4 linked regions of the Saccharomyces cerevisiae S288C genome follow. The gene in region 1 interacts genetically with each later gene. Each region holds a gene or a part of one and is shown in the gene's direction. Other genes may lie near its edges. The genes, in order: PMP3, RKM3, UBP1 and QRI7.

Region 1 (3,934 bases):
TCAAGTGCCTTTTTTTTTTTTTTTCATCCCACATTTTATTGCTGCCTCAATCTCCATTAAGAAAAAAAATTTATATAACCAAATGACATTTTTCCTTTCTTCTCAAACTTTGTAATGCGCCTGTAACTGCTTCTTTTTTTATTAAAAAACAGCATGGAGTTTTTTAATAACTTAAGGAAACATACAAAAAGATTTGTTCATTTCACTCCAAGTATTTTTTAACGTATATTGAAAGTTCTCAATAGCGAAACCACAAGCAGCAATACAAAGAGAATTTTATTCGAACGCATAGAGTACACACACTCAAAGGAATGTTTGTTTCACCACCACCAGCAACTTCGAAAAACCAAGTTTTACAACGACGTCCATTAGAATCGACTAACAGTAATCATGGGTTTGCAAGCTCCCTACAGGCCATTCCGGAAAACACGATGAGTGGCAGTGATAATGCTTCTTTTCAAAGTTTGCCACTATCAATGAGTAGCTCTCAATCCACGACTTCTTCGAGAAGAGAGAACTTTGTGAATGCTCCTCCGGAGTACACTGATAGAGCTAGAGATGAGATTAAAAAAAGATTATTGGCCTCCTCACCTAGCAGAAGGTCACATCATTCAAGCAGTATGCATTCAGCGAGCAGGAGATCAAGCGTGGCTGAAAGTGGGAGTTTACTTTCGGATAATGCCTCGTCTTATCAATCAAGTATATTTTCTGCCCCCTCTACTGTGCACACGCAACTAACTAATGACTCTTCGTTCTCCGAATTTCCTAACCACAAGTTAATCACGAGAGTGAGCCTGGATGAAGCATTACCCAAAACGTTTTATGACATGTATTCGCCAGATATTCTATTAGCAGACCCATCCAACATTCTCTGTAACGGGCGTCCCAAGTTTACCAAGAGAGAGTTATTGGATTGGGATTTAAACGATATAAGATCGTTATTGATAGTCGAGAAGTTAAGGCCCGAATGGGGTAATCAACTACCGGAAGTAATAACGGTGGGTGATAATATGCCCCAGTTTAGGTTACAATTATTACCACTATATTCTAGCGATGAGACCATAATCGCAACGTTAGTCCATTCGGATCTGTACATGGAGGCTAACTTAGATTATGAATTCAAACTAACCAGCGCCAAATATACAGTAGCGACCGCTAGAAAAAGACATGAGCATATAACTGGTAGAAATGAAGCCGTCATGAATTTGTCGAAACCGGAATGGAGAAATATCATCGAAAATTACCTCTTAAATATAGCAGTAGAGGCACAATGCAGGTTTGATTTCAAACAAAGATGCTCCGAATATAAGAAATGGAAGTTACAACAGTCCAACTTAAAAAGACCGGACATGCCCCCACCAAGCATAATACCGCGGAAAAACAGCACAGAAACAAAATCGCTTCTGAAAAAGGCTTTATTGAAGAACATTCAGTTGAAAAACCCCAATAATAACCTTGATGAATTGATGATGAGATCAAGCGCCGCAACAAATCAACAGGGAAAAAACAAAGTCAGCTTATCTAAAGAAGAAAAGGCTACGATATGGTCGCAATGTCAGGCACAAGTTTACCAAAGATTAGGATTGGATTGGCAGCCGGATTCAGTATCCTGAAGATACTAAAAAGAAACCTTCCCGATGGTTTTTTTGGAGACTCTTCGATTGTATCAATACTATCCCATGGACATCAGTTTTAATAGAGGAGCTCCAAATTCCCAAGGAATTGAGGAAGAAGCGCCAATGATTTATATATACAAACTAGCTGTTGCAGCTTTATAGAGATTTAGTAATAAGAATTTTATGGGAACGTGGTACCGTTATCGCAGTAAAGAGTCAAGGGTAGCGAAGATCAAACCATACGATGACGAAATACCTTTAGTTCTTAGCATCACCAATCGCAGACATCCAACGTATCCGTGCGCGTAATCCTTCTCTTGGTAGTTGAGCACAGCATACAGAAGAAGCCGCGCGCAAGCGGTAAATGTCTTTCCTCCGGCCTTCTAACCACCAAAACCGATCTCGGAACATGGGGGGGGGAAGGTCCTCTGAATCGAAAAACCCGAGACAGCGAGAGGGATTTTGCAGAAAATTACAAAGATCACTATTTACTGCTCCCCTCACTTCCGCAGTCCCCTAATAGCGGAAGATGCAATGGGTGTGGGCTCTGGGTGCCCTTTAACCACGCCCTCAAAAGGGGGTCCTGGTTATTTTGCGATGGGCGCCTCTATAAATACAAAAGAGGAAGTGAGTGTTTTTGTTTTGGAAGAGGGAAAGGAAAAAAAGAAGAAAATTTACTATCGGTTGTTGTTTTTCGCCAGTATAATACAATTGATTATACATTTTGAACTAAACAGCACAGCACAATACAACAATGGATTCTGCCAAGATCATTAACATTATATTATCCCTTTTCTTACCACCAGTCGCCGTTTTTCTAGCCCGTGGGTGGGGTACTGACTGTATAGTGGATATCATTTTGACCATTTTGGCTTGGTTCCCAGGTATGCTATATGCCTTGTACATTGTCCTACAAGATTAAGCTCATTCAATAAACGAAAGTAACTATCAAATGAAATAAGGAAGCAGTATTAGGAAACGGTATCAACATGTTCGGGTCACCCTCATTTTTATTTGTTTCCTTTCTTTTTTTTTGTTTCTCTTTCTCTTAAGGTTTCCTCCCCCGCTGTTAATTTTAACTACGTGTGTATTTTTTAATAATTAATTTTATCACAAAAAAAACTTCTCATCTTTTTTGCCTTTTATCATTTTTGTACTTTTTTCTTCGCTTAAAATACACATGATATAGACGCTTAACTATCTGTCCTGCAAGTTTGTTTATCTATATAAATATAGCCAGTATCATCCGTTTACCTGTGTTGTAGAGTTCCAAAAGATAGAACAGCCTTTTATCAGATGGGTGGCAGACCCTTACCCATATTATCTCTCTTATTTTGTTTTTATTTCTCTCTAGCCTTATAATTATTTTTAGTTTCCTTTCTGTAGCAATAAGTGTTCTTAGCAGTGGCGTTGCGTTGCCTTGACCTTGATTATCAATTTAAGCAGCTTTCTGCTCACAAGCCACTTCAAAACGACTCGTGAATGATTTTTCGATCAATGATATCTTATCATAATTCGGATTTGATAGGAAATCATCATCCTCTTCCTCGTAGTAGGCGTCTTCCCTCCTTTCATTAACAAGTTTATTCTGCTTCACAAATGTAACTGTACTAGTTGAATTCAAACGCCTACTTTTGTTAACACTACCTGAACTAATATCATATTCCAGACCAGCTGTAGTATGATTGATCAATGATTCTGAGGATTCATTTAGCATATTAATTATCTCCTCATCAATAACTATTTCCTCCTTTCCGCTTATGGGACCACTGGTCTTTTCTTTTCCATCTGCCACCGGTAATGATGATCTATTGTAGTGGAATAACTTGCAACCGTAATCAAGCAACCTGCACATGTAGAGGAATAGATCGATCGCGTCCAGTATGATAATAGGCAACAGCAATACGATGACACCCAAAGAGCACATCAACTGGAAAATGCCAAACATTAACATCAGTCCTGATCTTATTTCGGATAATATCCCGCAGTGCCACGTCAAAGATAGTACCTTATCAAAGGCGTGGTTGATAATAACAAGTGCTAATCGGCTATTTGACATGATCTCTTCCTTTCCTGATGAGTTCTTGGTATCGTGATCGATCACAGTTGAACCTATAAGTTTTCTAAGCTTCGGGAAAAAAAACATTGTAACTAAAGGCAATAATGGATGCAGATGCCTGGCAAGGAAGGAAGAAAAAAAGACAATAGAATGCCGTTGGTATATATTCTCCGGCTGCCCCGTCAAAGGACTTCTAAAAACTAATATCAAGAAAATCAAAAAAAAAAATCAAAAAAAAAAATAAAGGAAAAAAAAAGAT
Region 2 (5,707 bases), on another chromosome or scaffold:
CAAGCCTCTTTGATAATCCATCGTCATTATCGTTGTTATTACCATCATTTTTATCTTCGTCTTCTCTCTTGGAATCTGTGGCTGTTTGAGAAATTAAAATTTCTGCTTTCCGTAATTGCTTCATAGCATACAGCTTGGATGTATTGACGTCCTTAACAAGAAGAACTTTACCGTAGGCACCTTGGCCTAGGACTCTCACGGGCTTAAAATCGTGCAGGTTCCTTGATAATTCATTTTCTCCAATATTAGAGGAAATAATGTCCTGAGGTGTTATGGATAGTCTATTCGTATTAGTTCGCATTGCGTCCGAACCTGTAATAGAAAATCTTCTCGTATTTGGTGGAGTGAGAATAGGGAATTTGGAATAAGCTGAGGACCTTCTTCTCATCCTATGTGCAGGACTCATGCCATTTAGCGGAATCGCATTTGAATGAACCGAGAGGTGATTTATACTCTCCTCATATGTGATGGAGCTGCCTTGTTCATGATTGATATCATTGTATATTGCCGAGGAATAATCTACTTTAATGTCATTCTTTTTATCATCTAGTGACACACGATGAAGTTCTTCATCTAGTGAGAAAATCATCCTAATTACTGCCAACAGTATGCTCAGCTAGATTGGTTGATGAAAAATCTTATCATAGGGCACCTTCCAGGTAAAAGATCTACTTACTATTAGTCAGTACGTCCTTTTTTCATTTGTTTATAATTTTTTTTTTTTTTTTTTTTTTCTCCTCTCAATATTTTAGAAGTAACATGACAGAGCAACACGTTTATTTTCCTACATATAGTCATAAGTATAAAAACGAGCGAGAAATTTTGTTAAAGAATTGATATCATATTTTATAATTTACATAAACTAAATAGGGAAAGAGTAGTATAGCGTGCATAAGTTTGAAAAAAAAAAACTATTCATACACTCATATATACTTTTATATGGTCTTTTTTATATTCAAGAGTGATTGGTCAATGATTTCTTGGTCACATTAAAGATGTCAGCCAACTTTTCAAAATTCTTCGCTGATATTATACCTTTTTTAGATAGGAATCTAATCAAGATATCAATCAATTCTATAATCTGCTTGTCGTTCAGGTTCATTAAAATAGTGGATAAAACTGTATCTACTGTTATTCTGTGTTCGCTGATGAATGTTTCATAGTACAAATTGGCAAAAGAACCCATTATGAATTGGCAATCAACCCTGTCTGTGATACCACCATGGCCTGGGATGGAGTGGCCAAAGTCTTTAACTTTAAAAGTTCTCTTTAGACCAGATGCGAAAAAGCCTCCAAATGGCGCAAATAATGATGCAAAGGTAGCTAAGTTTAAAGCATGGAAATAAATTGGTTTTACTGTAATTGAATTGATTTGAACTTTATCGAAAAAGATGGGTGGAAGTCTGTAAACTTGTGGAAGGAAAACTGGGTTTAGTTCACATGTCAAATTAGAGAAAAAATTGGTATGGAGATCTTCAACAGGGCACGTCAAGTAAGTATAAGGGCTCAGAATCCTTGTTAATATAATACTAGCTAGAGCAGTGAAAAACCAGGCACCAAGGAAACCTTCTAAAGTTTTCTTGGGCGAGATTTCTATTAGTTTAGTCTTACCGAATGTAATGCCGCACAGGTAGGCGAAGATATCATTAACAATTACCAACCCGCATGGTAATAAGAACCAGAATAGCCCATTGAGCACGTTTTTGATGATCAAATGAGCCTGAAATACTACCAGAAGAAGAACCATATGAGTAACGCACAATGATCCGAACTGGAATTTCAAAAATCCCTTTCTTAAACTACAAACGAACAGAACAAATCCCATAAGATAGAGACAATAGCAGATAAACTTATGATTTGTTACGATAAAGTTCAATACAGGATACTCGTAAAAAGTAGCTTGGAAAAACTTGAAGAGTGATTTCCCATCTAAGTAATAGATAGTGGTGAAGAGAAGGTACCAGTTCAACGTCTTTGTCAATGGCAAATTCTTTTCGCGACCAGATGCACTTGTTACGGCAATACACTCTTTAAAAGTAGCAATTTGGCAGCCCAAAATCAGCACTATACACCATGCATGACCCGATGCTAAGGTGATGAAGAAACCACTGATCATAACAAACGTCCAAACTGTTCTAATGAAAAAGTTGTATTTCCTGCTTTCCTTTGTAGCAGCAGTGCTTTCCTTGGTCACCGGCGTGACGGATTCGCTGGCGTCCTTGTGGAGTTCTTCTTGCAATTTATCAATCGCCTTTGAGGTGGCGTCAGTAACCGACTCCACAATCTCCTTGCTCGTACCATGTGGTTTCATCTCAGGGTTGTCAGACATTTTAGGTATATGGAAGTGGAACAGTTAAGTATGACAGGTTCGCTGTTTGGGAAGATACTTGGCAAGAAGTGCGTCTTCACAATCTGGCTTACACTAAATAACAATATTGATGAATGCTCCCCCATGCTGTTTACAGTTCTCGATTGTTACACTTTTCACATGTCATCCCATCTGAAAAATTTTCAAGAAGGGTATCCGTTGATAATGACTGTCAAATACATAGCGATATAGTACCAATATACAGTGCCTGAAAACGCCTGGAATAAGCCAAAGCGATCAAGGTGGAGCTCCTGCAGATTGGTTTAGAAAGTAGTGTATTGATAGTTATTTACATGGGCGTTTGTTTATGATTCTTTGTGCCTAATATATCCACGTTCTCCGTTGAATTCTGAGATGTACTGCATCAAAATAGCGAAAAACGAGCAATAAATATCAGAAAATCAAATGAAGTATACTCGATGAAGGCAGCTGAGATGAGGTGGCAGATACAATAAGAAAGATTTGTTGCCATATATAATAGCAATTAAAAAATAAATTTGAAAGAGTGAGATGTCCGTAACTTTTAAGGACGATGTTCATCGGATTCTGAAGTTTGTTGCTAATTGCAATGGCAGGTTTGAAGATTCCAAATGTGATATAAGAGAATCGCCTCTCGGTGGATTGGGTGTCTTTGCAAAGACTGATATTGCAGAAGGTGAGTCAATATTGACGTTGAACAAATCCTCGATTTTTTCTGCATCTAACAGCTCCATTGCCAATTTGTTATGTGACAGTAGCATCGATGGAATGTTAGCTCTAAACATCGCATTCATTTACGAAACTACAGTTTTCAGAAATTCTAGTCATTGGTACCCATTTCTGCGAACTATCCGAATTCGTGATGACGAAGGGCACTTAAACCTGCCGCCAAGCTTTTGGCATGCGGATGCTAAGCGACTTTTAAAAGGAACCAGTTTCGATACCTTATTCGATTCGTTGGCACCAGAAGAAGAAATCATGGAAGGATTTGAAATTGCTGTGGATTTGGCACACAAATGGAACGACGAGTTTGGGTTGGAAATTCCAAAAGGCTTCCTAGACGTTAGTGAGGAGAATCATGAAGAAGATTACAATTTGAAATTAGAAAAGTTTATATCGGTGGCATATACTTTATCATCAAGAGGATTTGAAATTGACGCGTACCATGAGACAGCTTTGGTGCCCATCGCAGACCTGTTCAATCATCATGTTTCCGACCCGGATTTAAAGTTTGTATCGCTATATGATGTGTGCGATAAATGTGGTGAACCAGACATGTGTAAACATCTCATAGCAGAGGAATACTTGGAAGCAGAAAATCTAGACAAAAATATGCCCAAAGTCGCAAGTATGGAGACTCGTGTCATCGATGAAGACTTAATCAAAAGTTTAGAAAATGATTTAGAGAAAGAATACTCTAATGTTACGGCAAACATCGAGGATGATGATGGCGGTATTGAAAACCCTGACGAATGTGTCGATTTAGTGTTAAAGAATGACGTCGCACAAGGCCAAGAAATATTTAATTCCTATGGTGAGCTCTCAAACGTCTTTTTGTTGGCCAGATATGGTTTCACCGTACCTGAGAATCAGTATGATATTGTTCATTTAGGACCTGATTTTATGAAAATCTTAAAGAAAGAAGAAAAATATCAAGAAAAAGTCAAGTGGTGGAGCCAAGTCGGTCATGGCTTGTTTTCAGCATGGTATGCTCAAATGCGCCAAGAAGATGAAGAAGACGAAGACGGTCAAGCAAAATCAGACAATCTGTCTGACGATATAGAGAGCGAAGAGGAAGAGGAAGAGGAAGAGGGTGATGATAGCTTGGAATCATGGCTTTCCCAGCTTTACATAGACTCAAGTGGCGAGCCTTCACCCTCAACGTGGGCCTTAGCTAACCTTTTGACTTTAACGGCCGTTCAATGGGAATCATTGTTTTCCAAAAAGGCCACTCCTCACATCAGTGATTCTATAGTTAACGAAGAAAAGCTGCCCTTCCTGGCCAAAAAAGACAATCCCCATTCCAAGAAACTGCTTTCCAACTTACTTAAGGAAAAGCAACTACCTTGCATAAAAGGCGACAACTCGTCAAAGATAACAAGTGCTACTAAAAGCATGCTCCAAAATGCTCGAACACTTGTACAATCGGAGCATAATATCTTAGATAGATGTCTCAAGAGACTATCCTAAATAATATTGAATATGCACTTTTACTATATTAATATCACGTCACACGACGCACAGTGAGAAGTGAAAAATTTTTTTTCAATCTGAAAAAAAAAAAAAAAAAAAAAAAAAATTTATATAAACGAATGGTATCTCCATCACATTTCTTTTAGCCTCGCAACTTGTACTTTTCATCACTTTTCTTGTAATTTAGCAATATCCCAAGAACAATCATCGAAATGTCCCGTCCACAAGTTACTGTTCACTCTTTGACTGGTGAAGCTACTGCCAATGCCTTGCCATTGCCAGCTGTCTTCTCCGCTCCTATCCGTCCAGACATTGTCCACACTGTTTTCACCTCTGTGAACAAGAACAAGAGACAAGCTTACGCTGTTTCTGAAAAGGCTGGTCACCAAACCTCCGCTGAATCCTGGGGTACCGGTCGTGCCGTCGCTCGTATTCCAAGAGTTGGTGGTGGTGGTACCGGTAGATCCGGTCAAGGTGCCTTCGGTAACATGTGTCGTGGTGGTCGTATGTTTGCTCCAACTAAGACCTGGAGAAAGTGGAACGTTAAGGTTAACCACAACGAAAAGCGTTACGCCACTGCTTCTGCTATTGCTGCTACTGCTGTTGCCTCTTTGGTCTTGGCCAGAGGTCACAGAGTCGAAAAGATTCCAGAAATCCCATTGGTTGTCTCCACTGACTTGGAATCTATTCAAAAGACCAAGGAAGCTGTTGCTGCTTTGAAGGCTGTTGGTGCTCACTCCGACTTGTTGAAGGTCTTGAAGTCCAAGAAATTGAGAGCCGGTAAGGGTAAGTACAGAAACAGAAGATGGACTCAAAGAAGAGGTCCATTAGTTGTCTACGCTGAAGACAACGGTATCGTCAAGGCCTTGAGAAACGTTCCAGGTGTTGAAACTGCCAACGTTGCTTCTTTGAACTTGTTGCAATTGGCTCCAGGTGCTCACTTGGGTAGATTCGTTATCTGGACCGAAGCTGCTTTCACCAAGTTGGACCAAGTCTGGGGTTCCGAAACCGTTGCCTCCTCCAAGGTCGGCTACACTTTGCCATCCCATATCATCTCCACTTCTGATGTCACCAGAATTATCAACTCTTCCGAAATCCAATCTGCTATCAGACCAGCTGGCCAAGCTACTCAAAAGCGTACTCACGTTTTGAAGAAGAACCCATTGA
Region 3 (6,366 bases), 770 kb from region 1:
TTTATGTGACCTCCTTTTGTACTTTTCAAGTTCTGTAGACAAGTGTCAATTCAACCTTTGAGGCTACGTGGCCAACAAGGTCTTGCGCGATTTACCGGTGTTTCCTTTGCGCCCCCTGCTCATGCCATCAAAACGGCACGCTGTTTTGTAGAAGCCTCCATGCGTCTCCTATTTGGGTCCTTGCAAAATAGTCTAACGAAAGCGCGGAGAATTAACCGGAAAAAGGAAGTTGCCACACTCCCCTTACTAATCCACACCTAGGATCTCCTTTACTCGTATTTTGAATATCTACGAAAACACTCACATACGCTCATCCCATATATATATATATATATATACGGATATATTGATAGTCGGATACTACGTGGATATGGATACACATGTAAACGGTTGTGTTACCCTAAAGAAACGGAGGTCAGTTAACAACACTTTTACAGATGTCATTTCACCAACAGTTCTTTACCTTGAATAATGGAAATAAAATCCCCGCAATCGCCATCATTGGGACAGGTACTAGATGGTATAAAAACGAAGAAACGGATGCTACCTTTTCGAACAGTTTGGTCGAACAGATTGTTTATGCTCTGAAGTTACCTGGCATTATTCACATTGATGCTGCTGAGATCTACAGAACATATCCAGAAGTTGGGAAGGCACTTAGCCTCACCGAAAAACCAAGAAATGCAATATTCTTGACAGACAAGTACTCACCTCAAATCAAGATGTCAGATTCCCCAGCGGATGGACTAGATTTAGCTTTGAAGAAGATGGGCACTGACTATGTCGATCTATACCTTTTGCATAGCCCATTTGTTTCCAAAGAGGTCAACGGGTTAAGTTTGGAGGAAGCCTGGAAGGACATGGAGCAATTGTACAAATCAGGTAAAGCTAAAAATATCGGTGTTTCCAACTTTGCTGTGGAAGACTTGCAAAGAATTCTGAAAGTTGCGGAAGTCAAGCCCCAAGTTAATCAAATTGAGTTCAGTCCCTTCTTGCAGAATCAAACACCAGGGATCTACAAATTTTGCCAAGAACATGATATATTGGTAGAAGCATACTCGCCACTAGGTCCCTTACAAAAGAAAACAGCACAAGATGACTCTCAACCGTTTTTCGAATACGTGAAAGAGTTATCCGAGAAATATATCAAATCTGAAGCCCAAATTATCCTACGTTGGGTGACCAAACGTGGCGTGTTGCCTGTAACCACCTCTTCCAAACCTCAAAGAATTTCTGACGCGCAAAATTTATTCTCTTTCGACTTGACGGCTGAGGAAGTCGATAAGATAACGGAGTTGGGCTTGGAACATGAACCGCTAAGATTGTATTGGAATAAATTGTACGGTAAATACAACTACGCTGCTCAAAAAGTATAAATACCGGATAATTTATGTACGAGTCATATTTGTTTTGTATAACTTTATTAATCGACTTTTTTTGTCAGGTTTATCACCCCGTTACCCATCCCGCCACTTTTCAGCATCGAGGAAGAAAAAAGGGCTGTACATTATATAAAAGGCCATCAAAAAATACCGGAAGAGGGCATCTCCCCAATAAAGGTGCCACACTGAGCAGAGACAGATAGGGACGCGCATCATGTGTTGCTACTGTGTTTGTTGTACCGTTTCTGACTTTATACTGTATATTGTTGCGTTTTTTTTCCCCCCAGCTGCAGTCCTTCTTCGATCTGGGCCTTGTTCATCTGATTTCCTCCTGAATGTATTGCTAACGCTACTGGGATTTTTGCCCGGTATGTTACACGCATTCTACTACATCACAATTACAAGTCCTTTAAGGAACGCTGAATACGTCTATTATTACCAGCAAGGCTGGGTGGATAGCGAAAGAAACGTTCCTTCGAATCGTCCTCAAAACTCGCAGACCCCCCAAAACCGCCCACAACAAGGAAGCTCCGCTAGAAACGTATACCCGAGCGTTGAAACTCCTCTGTTACAAGGCGCAGCTCCCCATGACAACAAACAGTCTCTGGTTGAGTCTCCTCCTCCTTATGTGCCATGATGAAGCTACAGCAAGGAAAATGAAAATTCCAGCAAGCAAGCAAGCGAAGACCGTTCTTCTCTTTCCTATGATCTTCCTTAGCAAAGAGGTTTGCCAGTCAAAGTAAAAGAGCTGCCATTAAGAAATGTATTTCATTTTGACAGCTTCTTCGATCAATACCGCCAGCTCCCTCGAGCCTATAACTATTTTGCGGATCTGTAAGCCGTAATGTTTTTCCCATAAACGTCACTGAATGTCCATATATCATACTACCAGTAAGCGCCTGTTGGAAACCTTCCTACCTTCATACGTGTATTCTGCTATATCCCTTCTTTTCCTCTTTACGTACAGAATGACATCTATGTAGGCAAGTTTCTTTTTCCATCATTGGAAAACGAAAATACATTTTTCACTAGCACCACAAAATTTTCAAGATGGCCAGGCTAGTTAAATCTATTATACAATAATTATTGGTTATATATTTAAAAAACAGAAACATTTTTTGCTTTAAAAGCACGCCATAGTATTGCTTTTAATATTGTGATCTGCGTCCTTTTTTTTCTCAGGAAAAAAAAATTTTATACACATTCAAAGAATAGAAGCGATTGTCAAAATTCGCTTCTCCTTTCTTTTCCATTATAACGTCTGATCATTTTACGTCTTCAGTGCCCTCCCTTGTTCGAAACTAGATACTTTCGAACACTTCTCCCCTTTTAATCTACAAAATTTTGTATGGATTTGTTTATTGAAAGCAAGATAAACAGTTTATTACAATTTTTATTTGGTTCCCGACAGGATTTTTTGAGAAATTTTAAAACTTGGAGTAACAACAATAACAATCTATCGATTTATTTATTAATTTTTGGCATAGTAGTATTTTTTTATAAAAAACCAGACCATCTAAACTACATTGTTGAGAGCGTTAGTGAAATGACAACAAACTTCAGAAATAATAATAGCCTTAGCCGTTGGTTGCCCAGAAGTAAGTTTACCCACTTAGACGAAGAGATCTTGAAAAGAGGTGGTTTCATTGCTGGTTTAGTTAATGATGGTAACACTTGTTTTATGAACTCTGTTTTGCAATCATTGGCATCATCCAGAGAATTAATGGAGTTCTTGGACAATAATGTCATAAGGACCTATGAGGAGATAGAACAAAATGAACACAATGAAGAAGGAAACGGGCAAGAATCTGCTCAAGATGAAGCCACTCATAAGAAAAACACTCGTAAGGGTGGCAAAGTTTATGGTAAGCATAAGAAGAAATTGAATAGGAAGTCAAGTTCGAAAGAAGACGAAGAAAAGAGCCAGGAGCCAGATATCACTTTCAGTGTCGCCTTAAGGGATCTACTTTCTGCCTTAAATGCGAAGTATTATCGGGATAAACCCTATTTCAAAACCAATAGTTTATTGAAAGCAATGTCCAAATCTCCAAGAAAAAATATTCTTCTTGGCTACGACCAAGAGGACGCGCAAGAATTCTTCCAGAACATACTAGCCGAGTTGGAAAGTAACGTTAAATCATTGAATACTGAAAAACTAGATACCACTCCAGTTGCGAAATCAGAATTACCCGATGATGCTTTAGTAGGTCAACTTAACCTTGGTGAAGTTGGCACTGTTTACATTCCAACTGAACAGATTGATCCTAACTCTATACTACATGACAAGTCCATTCAAAATTTCACACCTTTCAAACTAATGACTCCTTTAGATGGTATCACGGCAGAAAGAATTGGTTGTTTACAGTGTGGTGAGAACGGTGGCATAAGATATTCCGTATTTTCGGGATTAAGCTTAAATTTACCGAACGAGAATATTGGTTCCACTTTAAAATTATCTCAGTTATTAAGCGACTGGAGTAAACCTGAAATCATCGAAGGCGTAGAATGTAACCGTTGTGCCCTCACAGCAGCGCACTCTCATTTATTTGGTCAGTTGAAAGAATTTGAAAAAAAACCTGAGGGTTCGATCCCAGAAAAGTTAATTAACGCTGTAAAAGATAGGGTCCATCAAATCGAAGAAGTTCTTGCCAAACCAGTTATTGACGATGAAGATTATAAGAAGTTGCATACAGCAAATATGGTACGTAAATGCTCTAAATCTAAGCAGATTTTAATATCAAGACCTCCACCATTATTATCCATTCATATCAACAGATCCGTATTTGATCCAAGAACGTACATGATTAGAAAAAATAACTCGAAAGTATTGTTTAAGTCAAGGTTGAATCTTGCCCCATGGTGTTGTGATATTAATGAAATCAATTTGGATGCTCGTTTGCCAATGTCAAAAAAGGAAAAAGCTGCGCAACAAGATTCAAGTGAAGATGAAAACATTGGCGGTGAATACTATACGAAATTACATGAACGCTTCGAGCAGGAATTTGAAGACAGCGAGGAAGAAAAAGAATACGATGACGCAGAGGGGAACTATGCGTCTCATTACAATCATACCAAGGATATCAGTAACTATGATCCCCTAAACGGTGAAGTCGATGGCGTGACATCCGATGATGAAGATGAGTACATTGAAGAAACCGATGCTTTAGGGAATACAATCAAAAAAAGGATCATAGAACATTCTGATGTTGAAAACGAGAATGTAAAAGATAATGAAGAACTGCAAGAAATCGACAATGTGAGCCTTGACGAACCAAAGATCAATGTTGAAGATCAACTAGAAACATCATCTGATGAGGAAGATGTTATACCAGCTCCACCTATCAATTATGCTAGGTCATTTTCCACAGTTCCAGCCACTCCATTGACATATTCATTGCGCTCTGTCATTGTTCACTACGGTACCCATAATTATGGTCATTACATTGCATTTAGAAAATACAGGGGTTGTTGGTGGAGAATATCTGATGAGACTGTGTACGTTGTGGACGAAGCTGAAGTCCTTTCAACACCCGGTGTATTTATGTTATTTTACGAATATGACTTTGATGAAGAAACTGGGAAGATGAAGGATGATTTGGAAGCTATTCAGAGTAATAATGAAGAAGATGATGAAAAAGAGCAGGAGCAAAAAGGAGTCCAGGAGCCAAAGGAAAGCCAAGAGCAAGGAGAAGGTGAAGAGCAAGAGGAAGGTCAAGAGCAGATGAAGTTCGAGAGAACAGAAGACCATAGAGATATTTCTGGTAAAGATGTAAACTAAGTTATAAATACGATATCCGTAATTGTGTAAATAACAATAACTATAATTAAATTGAATAATTAAAAGTCTACGTTATTCGTTAAATCAATTGTTTAGCTAGTTACGAATGTCTAAAGTTTTTGTAGGACAATTGCAAAAATCACTTCCATTATTATACAAATCCTTCGTAAGCTTCATTTTTCTTACCATTGTACTTCTTCAACTTTTTCTCTTCTTCTCTCCGTTCATCTAGTTCATCTTCGTTAATTAGGTCATCAATATCGAAATCGAAATCATTTGGATCTTTGTTGTACTGTCCAATTACACGTCTTTTAAGGCCTGTCTTTGAGTCTATTTCAAATTTTCTGGAAGCGGAAGAGGCACTTGCACTGTCATGGCCAAGGCTTTCCTCCGTGTCCTTCAGATCAAACTTTAATACATTGGTATGATCAAGTTTTTTTTTCAAATATTCCCTCTTACCAAGCTTACCAGTCGCTGACTGTGCTGTTGCAGACGATTTCGGTTTTGTTAGTTTGAATGTACCGATGCCAGAAAACAATGGCAACAATGCAATGAAAGCAATCACAATAATGAGAAGTAAAAAATAACCGTATAGATTCATGCTCCGGACTTATTGACTTAGGCACCGAGAACTTTAAGGGAATTCGTCCTTTTCTTTTACTAAACGTAGATCATGGGTGCTTGATTTAGAGATACAACTCATCGCACTTGACAAATTTCAAAAAACCGTATTCAGTGATCATATTTGAAAAGTCACGTTTCTTACAATGTCCACATAGCCCTATAGGATATGAGGGATTAGTAACCGTAAATGATCTCTTTGAATCGCATTTTTAATTGAAAGCAACCTCGCTTGAAGACACTTACAAATCGTTACGTACTACTGAATACCAGAAAGATAGTATTTCAAAAAAAACTAAGCGAGAAGATAGAGTGTAGCAATGATTAAGCGGTCTCTCGCAAGTTTAGTTCGAGTCAGCTCTGTAATGGGCAGAAGATATATGATAGCAGCGGCAGGAGGAGAACGTGCCAGATTTTGTCCAGCTGTAACAAATAAAAAGAATCATACTGTAAATACTTTTCAGAAGAGATTTGTAGAATCCTCGACAGATGGTCAAGTTGTGCCTCAAGAAGTGTTAAACTTACCGCTTGAAAAATACCATGAAGAGGCAGATGACTACCTAGACCATTTACTAGATAGCTTAG
Region 4 (3,297 bases), 740 kb from region 1:
GCAAAACTACTGGAAGACTGTCAAAATGCTATTAAATTCTCACTAGCTAACTCTTCTAAGGATACTGGCGTCGAAATTTCACCATTGCCCCCTACTTCGTACGAGTCGCTTATTGGCAACAGTAAGAAAGAAAATGAATACTGGCGTTTAGGCCTTGAAGCTATTGGCAAGGGTGAAGTCGCAGTGATTTTAATGGCTGGCGGACAAGGTACGCGGTTAGGATCCTCTCAACCAAAGGGCTGTTACGACATTGGATTGCCTTCTAAGAAATCTCTTTTTCAAATTCAAGCTGAAAAGTTGATCAGGTTGCAAGATATGGTAAAGGACAAAAAGGTAGAAATTCCTTGGTATATTATGACATCAGGCCCCACTAGAGCGGCTACTGAGGCATACTTTCAAGAACACAATTATTTTGGCTTGAATAAAGAACAAATTACGTTCTTCAACCAGGGAACCCTGCCTGCCTTTGATTTAACCGGGAAGCATTTCCTAATGAAAGACCCAGTAAACCTATCTCAATCACCAGATGGAAATGGTGGACTCTACCGTGCCATCAAGGAAAACAAGTTGAACGAAGACTTTGATAGGAGAGGAATCAAGCATGTTTACATGTACTGTGTCGATAATGTCCTATCTAAAATCGCAGACCCTGTATTTATTGGTTTTGCCATCAAGCATGGCTTCGAACTGGCCACCAAAGCCGTTAGAAAGAGAGATGCGCATGAATCAGTTGGGTTAATTGCTACTAAAAACGAGAAACCATGTGTCATAGAATATTCTGAAATTTCCAATGAATTGGCTGAAGCAAAGGATAAAGATGGCTTATTAAAACTACGCGCAGGCAACATTGTAAATCATTATTACCTAGTGGATTTACTAAAACGTGATTTGGATCAGTGGTGTGAGAATATGCCATATCACATTGCGAAGAAGAAAATTCCAGCTTATGATAGTGTTACCGGCAAGTACACTAAGCCTACCGAACCAAACGGTATAAAATTAGAGCAATTCATATTTGATGTCTTTGACACTGTACCACTGAACAAGTTTGGGTGCTTAGAAGTAGATAGATGCAAAGAATTTTCACCTTTAAAAAACGGTCCTGGTTCTAAGAACGATAATCCTGAGACCAGCAGACTAGCATATTTGAAACTAGGAACCTCGTGGTTGGAAGATGCAGGCGCTATTGTAAAAGATGGGGTACTAGTCGAAGTTTCCAGCAAATTGAGTTATGCAGGTGAAAATCTATCCCAGTTCAAAGGTAAAGTCTTTGACAGAAGTGGTATAGTATTAGAAAAATAACTGTTTGAGCTACTTATGAAGCACTTTTAACATGTAATTGAAAAGTACTCGTAATTGTGATTCAATATATATAATAAAATATTTCGTACTCTGAAAAATAGCTAAATTACTTGTTTTATGTAATTTCTATTTGGCGGATCCGCTCTGCCAATGGAAAGAGTGGCATCTTCATTGCGCGATGATTAATTGACAATGAAATTAAAGCAAACAGCGATTCTCAAGCTCTGAAATAAGTAGAGTAGAAGAAAGGATAGAAACTTTTTTTTTCATTATGATATCAATAAAAGGAACCGGAAGATTTCTCCTCGATAACTATAGAATTTGGCAGAGGCGTGCATTCAACAGACCAATACAGTTAAGAAAAGGCTATAAAGTTTTAGCCATTGAGACTTCTTGCGATGATACATGCGTTTCAGTTTTGGACAGGTTCTCAAAAAGTGCAGCTCCTAATGTGCTAGCCAATTTGAAAGATACTTTAGATAGTATTGACGAAGGAGGTATTATACCAACAAAGGCTCATATCCATCACCAAGCTCGGATAGGACCCTTAACCGAAAGAGCCCTGATAGAAAGCAATGCGAGAGAAGGAATTGATCTCATATGTGTTACAAGAGGCCCTGGTATGCCTGGTTCATTATCAGGAGGATTAGATTTTGCAAAAGGTTTAGCTGTTGCCTGGAACAAACCACTGATTGGTGTGCATCACATGCTGGGACACTTGCTGATACCAAGAATGGGTACAAATGGAAAAGTGCCTCAATTTCCCTTTGTTAGCCTGCTGGTTAGTGGTGGTCATACTACGTTTGTTTTGTCACGAGCAATTGACGATCACGAAATATTATGTGATACTATCGATATTGCAGTGGGTGACTCATTAGATAAATGTGGCAGAGAGCTTGGATTCAAGGGAACAATGATCGCTAGAGAAATGGAGAAATTTATTAATCAAGATATTAACGACCAAGATTTTGCTTTAAAACTAGAAATGCCCAGTCCGTTAAAAAACAGCGCTAGTAAAAGAAACATGCTTTCGTTTTCGTTTTCAGCATTTATCACAGCATTAAGAACTAATTTGACAAAACTAGGTAAAACAGAAATCCAGGAACTGCCAGAACGCGAAATACGGTCAATTGCATATCAAGTACAGGAATCTGTTTTCGACCATATAATAAATAAACTGAAGCACGTGCTCAAGTCACAACCGGAAAAGTTTAAAAACGTGCGTGAATTTGTATGTTCTGGTGGAGTGAGTAGTAATCAAAGGTTGAGAACAAAATTAGAAACGGAATTGGGGACGTTGAACTCCACAAGCTTTTTTAATTTTTATTATCCTCCTATGGACCTTTGTAGTGACAACTCTATTATGATCGGCTGGGCAGGTATCGAGATATGGGAAAGCTTACGATTAGTTAGTGATTTAGATATATGTCCAATTAGGCAATGGCCATTGAATGACCTATTAAGTGTTGATGGTTGGAGAACGGACCAGCTATGAAAAAAAAAAAAAAAAAAAAAAAACTGTACATATTATATGCAGCGCTCTATCGCTGTTAGTCTAAGAATGGTGAAGTGATGTTGTATTTCTTTATTAGTTTTCGCCAAGTAGGCATGTCCATTTGAAAAATAATGTGATTCTGATGAGCGGCACGACGCCTTTGTCTCTCAATTTCTTTACTTCTTGAATCTGTGTGACTTATGCTTTGTTTTATCTTAATTGTGGGTAAACCTTCTTCATCGTGTTCCATCAATAGTTTTCCCTCTTTGATCAAAAAACTGGTATAGAAAAGATTTTCGATGGATCGCGAGAATGAATTTGGGTCTATAATAAATTTAAAAAGATTAATGGAACCTTCTGGGCCTAATTTTTTTGAAAGCTTTTTGAAACATTTCTTGACCTGTTCAGGGGTAGTTTCTTGCTGTGTGGAGTTTAAAGAATGCTGAGTGATTTTCTCAGCGGTGATCTTTTCACCAACTTGGTCATTATTCCTTCTTCGT

The links.
Region 2: mutations in PMP3 (region 1) and RKM3 together harm fitness more than expected from each alone (negative genetic interaction), as found in Saccharomyces cerevisiae (2 studies listed by BioGRID).
Region 3: mutations in PMP3 (region 1) and UBP1 together harm fitness more than expected from each alone (negative genetic interaction), as found in Saccharomyces cerevisiae (2 studies listed by BioGRID).
Region 4: mutations in PMP3 (region 1) and QRI7 together harm fitness more than expected from each alone (negative genetic interaction), as found in Saccharomyces cerevisiae (2 studies listed by BioGRID).

What each region holds. Positions count from the first base shown.
Region 1 is NC_001136.10:1,012,080-1,016,013, reverse strand, and holds PMP3 (Pmp3p), read left to right. Parts: upstream 1-2,370; coding exon 2,371-2,538; downstream 2,539-3,934. Other genes in the region: MTH1 (Mth1p), read left to right, coding at 312-1,613; triglyceride-associated lipolysis regulator TLD1, read right to left, coding at 3,055-3,762. UniProt on the Saccharomyces cerevisiae protein: Plays a role in the regulation of membrane potential. Could mediate a proton leak.
Region 2 is NC_001134.8:295,414-301,120, forward strand, and holds RKM3 (protein-lysine N-methyltransferase), read left to right. Parts: upstream 1-2,878; coding exon 2,879-4,537; downstream 4,538-5,707. Other genes in the region: putative protein kinase YPK3, read right to left, coding at 1-589; CDS1 (phosphatidate cytidylyltransferase), read right to left, coding at 956-2,329; 60S ribosomal protein uL4 RPL4A, read left to right, coding at 4,753-5,707. UniProt on the Saccharomyces cerevisiae protein: S-adenosyl-L-methionine-dependent protein-lysine N-methyltransferase that monomethylates 60S ribosomal protein L42 (RPL42A and RPL42B) at 'Lys-40'.
Region 3 is NC_001136.10:239,822-246,187, forward strand, and holds UBP1 (ubiquitin-specific protease UBP1), read left to right. Parts: upstream 1-2,730; coding exon 2,731-5,160; downstream 5,161-6,366. Other genes in the region: YDL124W (aldo-keto reductase superfamily protein), read left to right, coding at 438-1,376; SNA4 (Sna4p), read left to right, coding at 1,597-2,019; EXP1 (Exp1p), read right to left, coding at 5,312-5,761; YFH1 (ferroxidase), read left to right, coding at 6,102-6,366. UniProt on the Saccharomyces cerevisiae protein: Has an ATP-independent isopeptidase activity, cleaving at the C-terminus of the ubiquitin moiety in natural or engineered linear fusion proteins, irrespective of their size or the presence of an N-terminal extension to ubiquitin.
Region 4 is NC_001136.10:273,153-276,449, reverse strand, and holds QRI7 (putative N(6)-L-threonylcarbamoyladenine synthase), read left to right. Parts: upstream 1-1,573; coding exon 1,574-2,797; downstream 2,798-3,297. Other genes in the region: QRI1 (UDP-N-acetylglucosamine diphosphorylase), read left to right, coding at 1-1,302; Smc5-Smc6 complex subunit NSE4, read right to left, coding at 2,853-3,297. UniProt on the Saccharomyces cerevisiae protein: Required for the formation of a threonylcarbamoyl group on adenosine at position 37 (t(6)A37) in mitochondrial tRNAs that read codons beginning with adenine.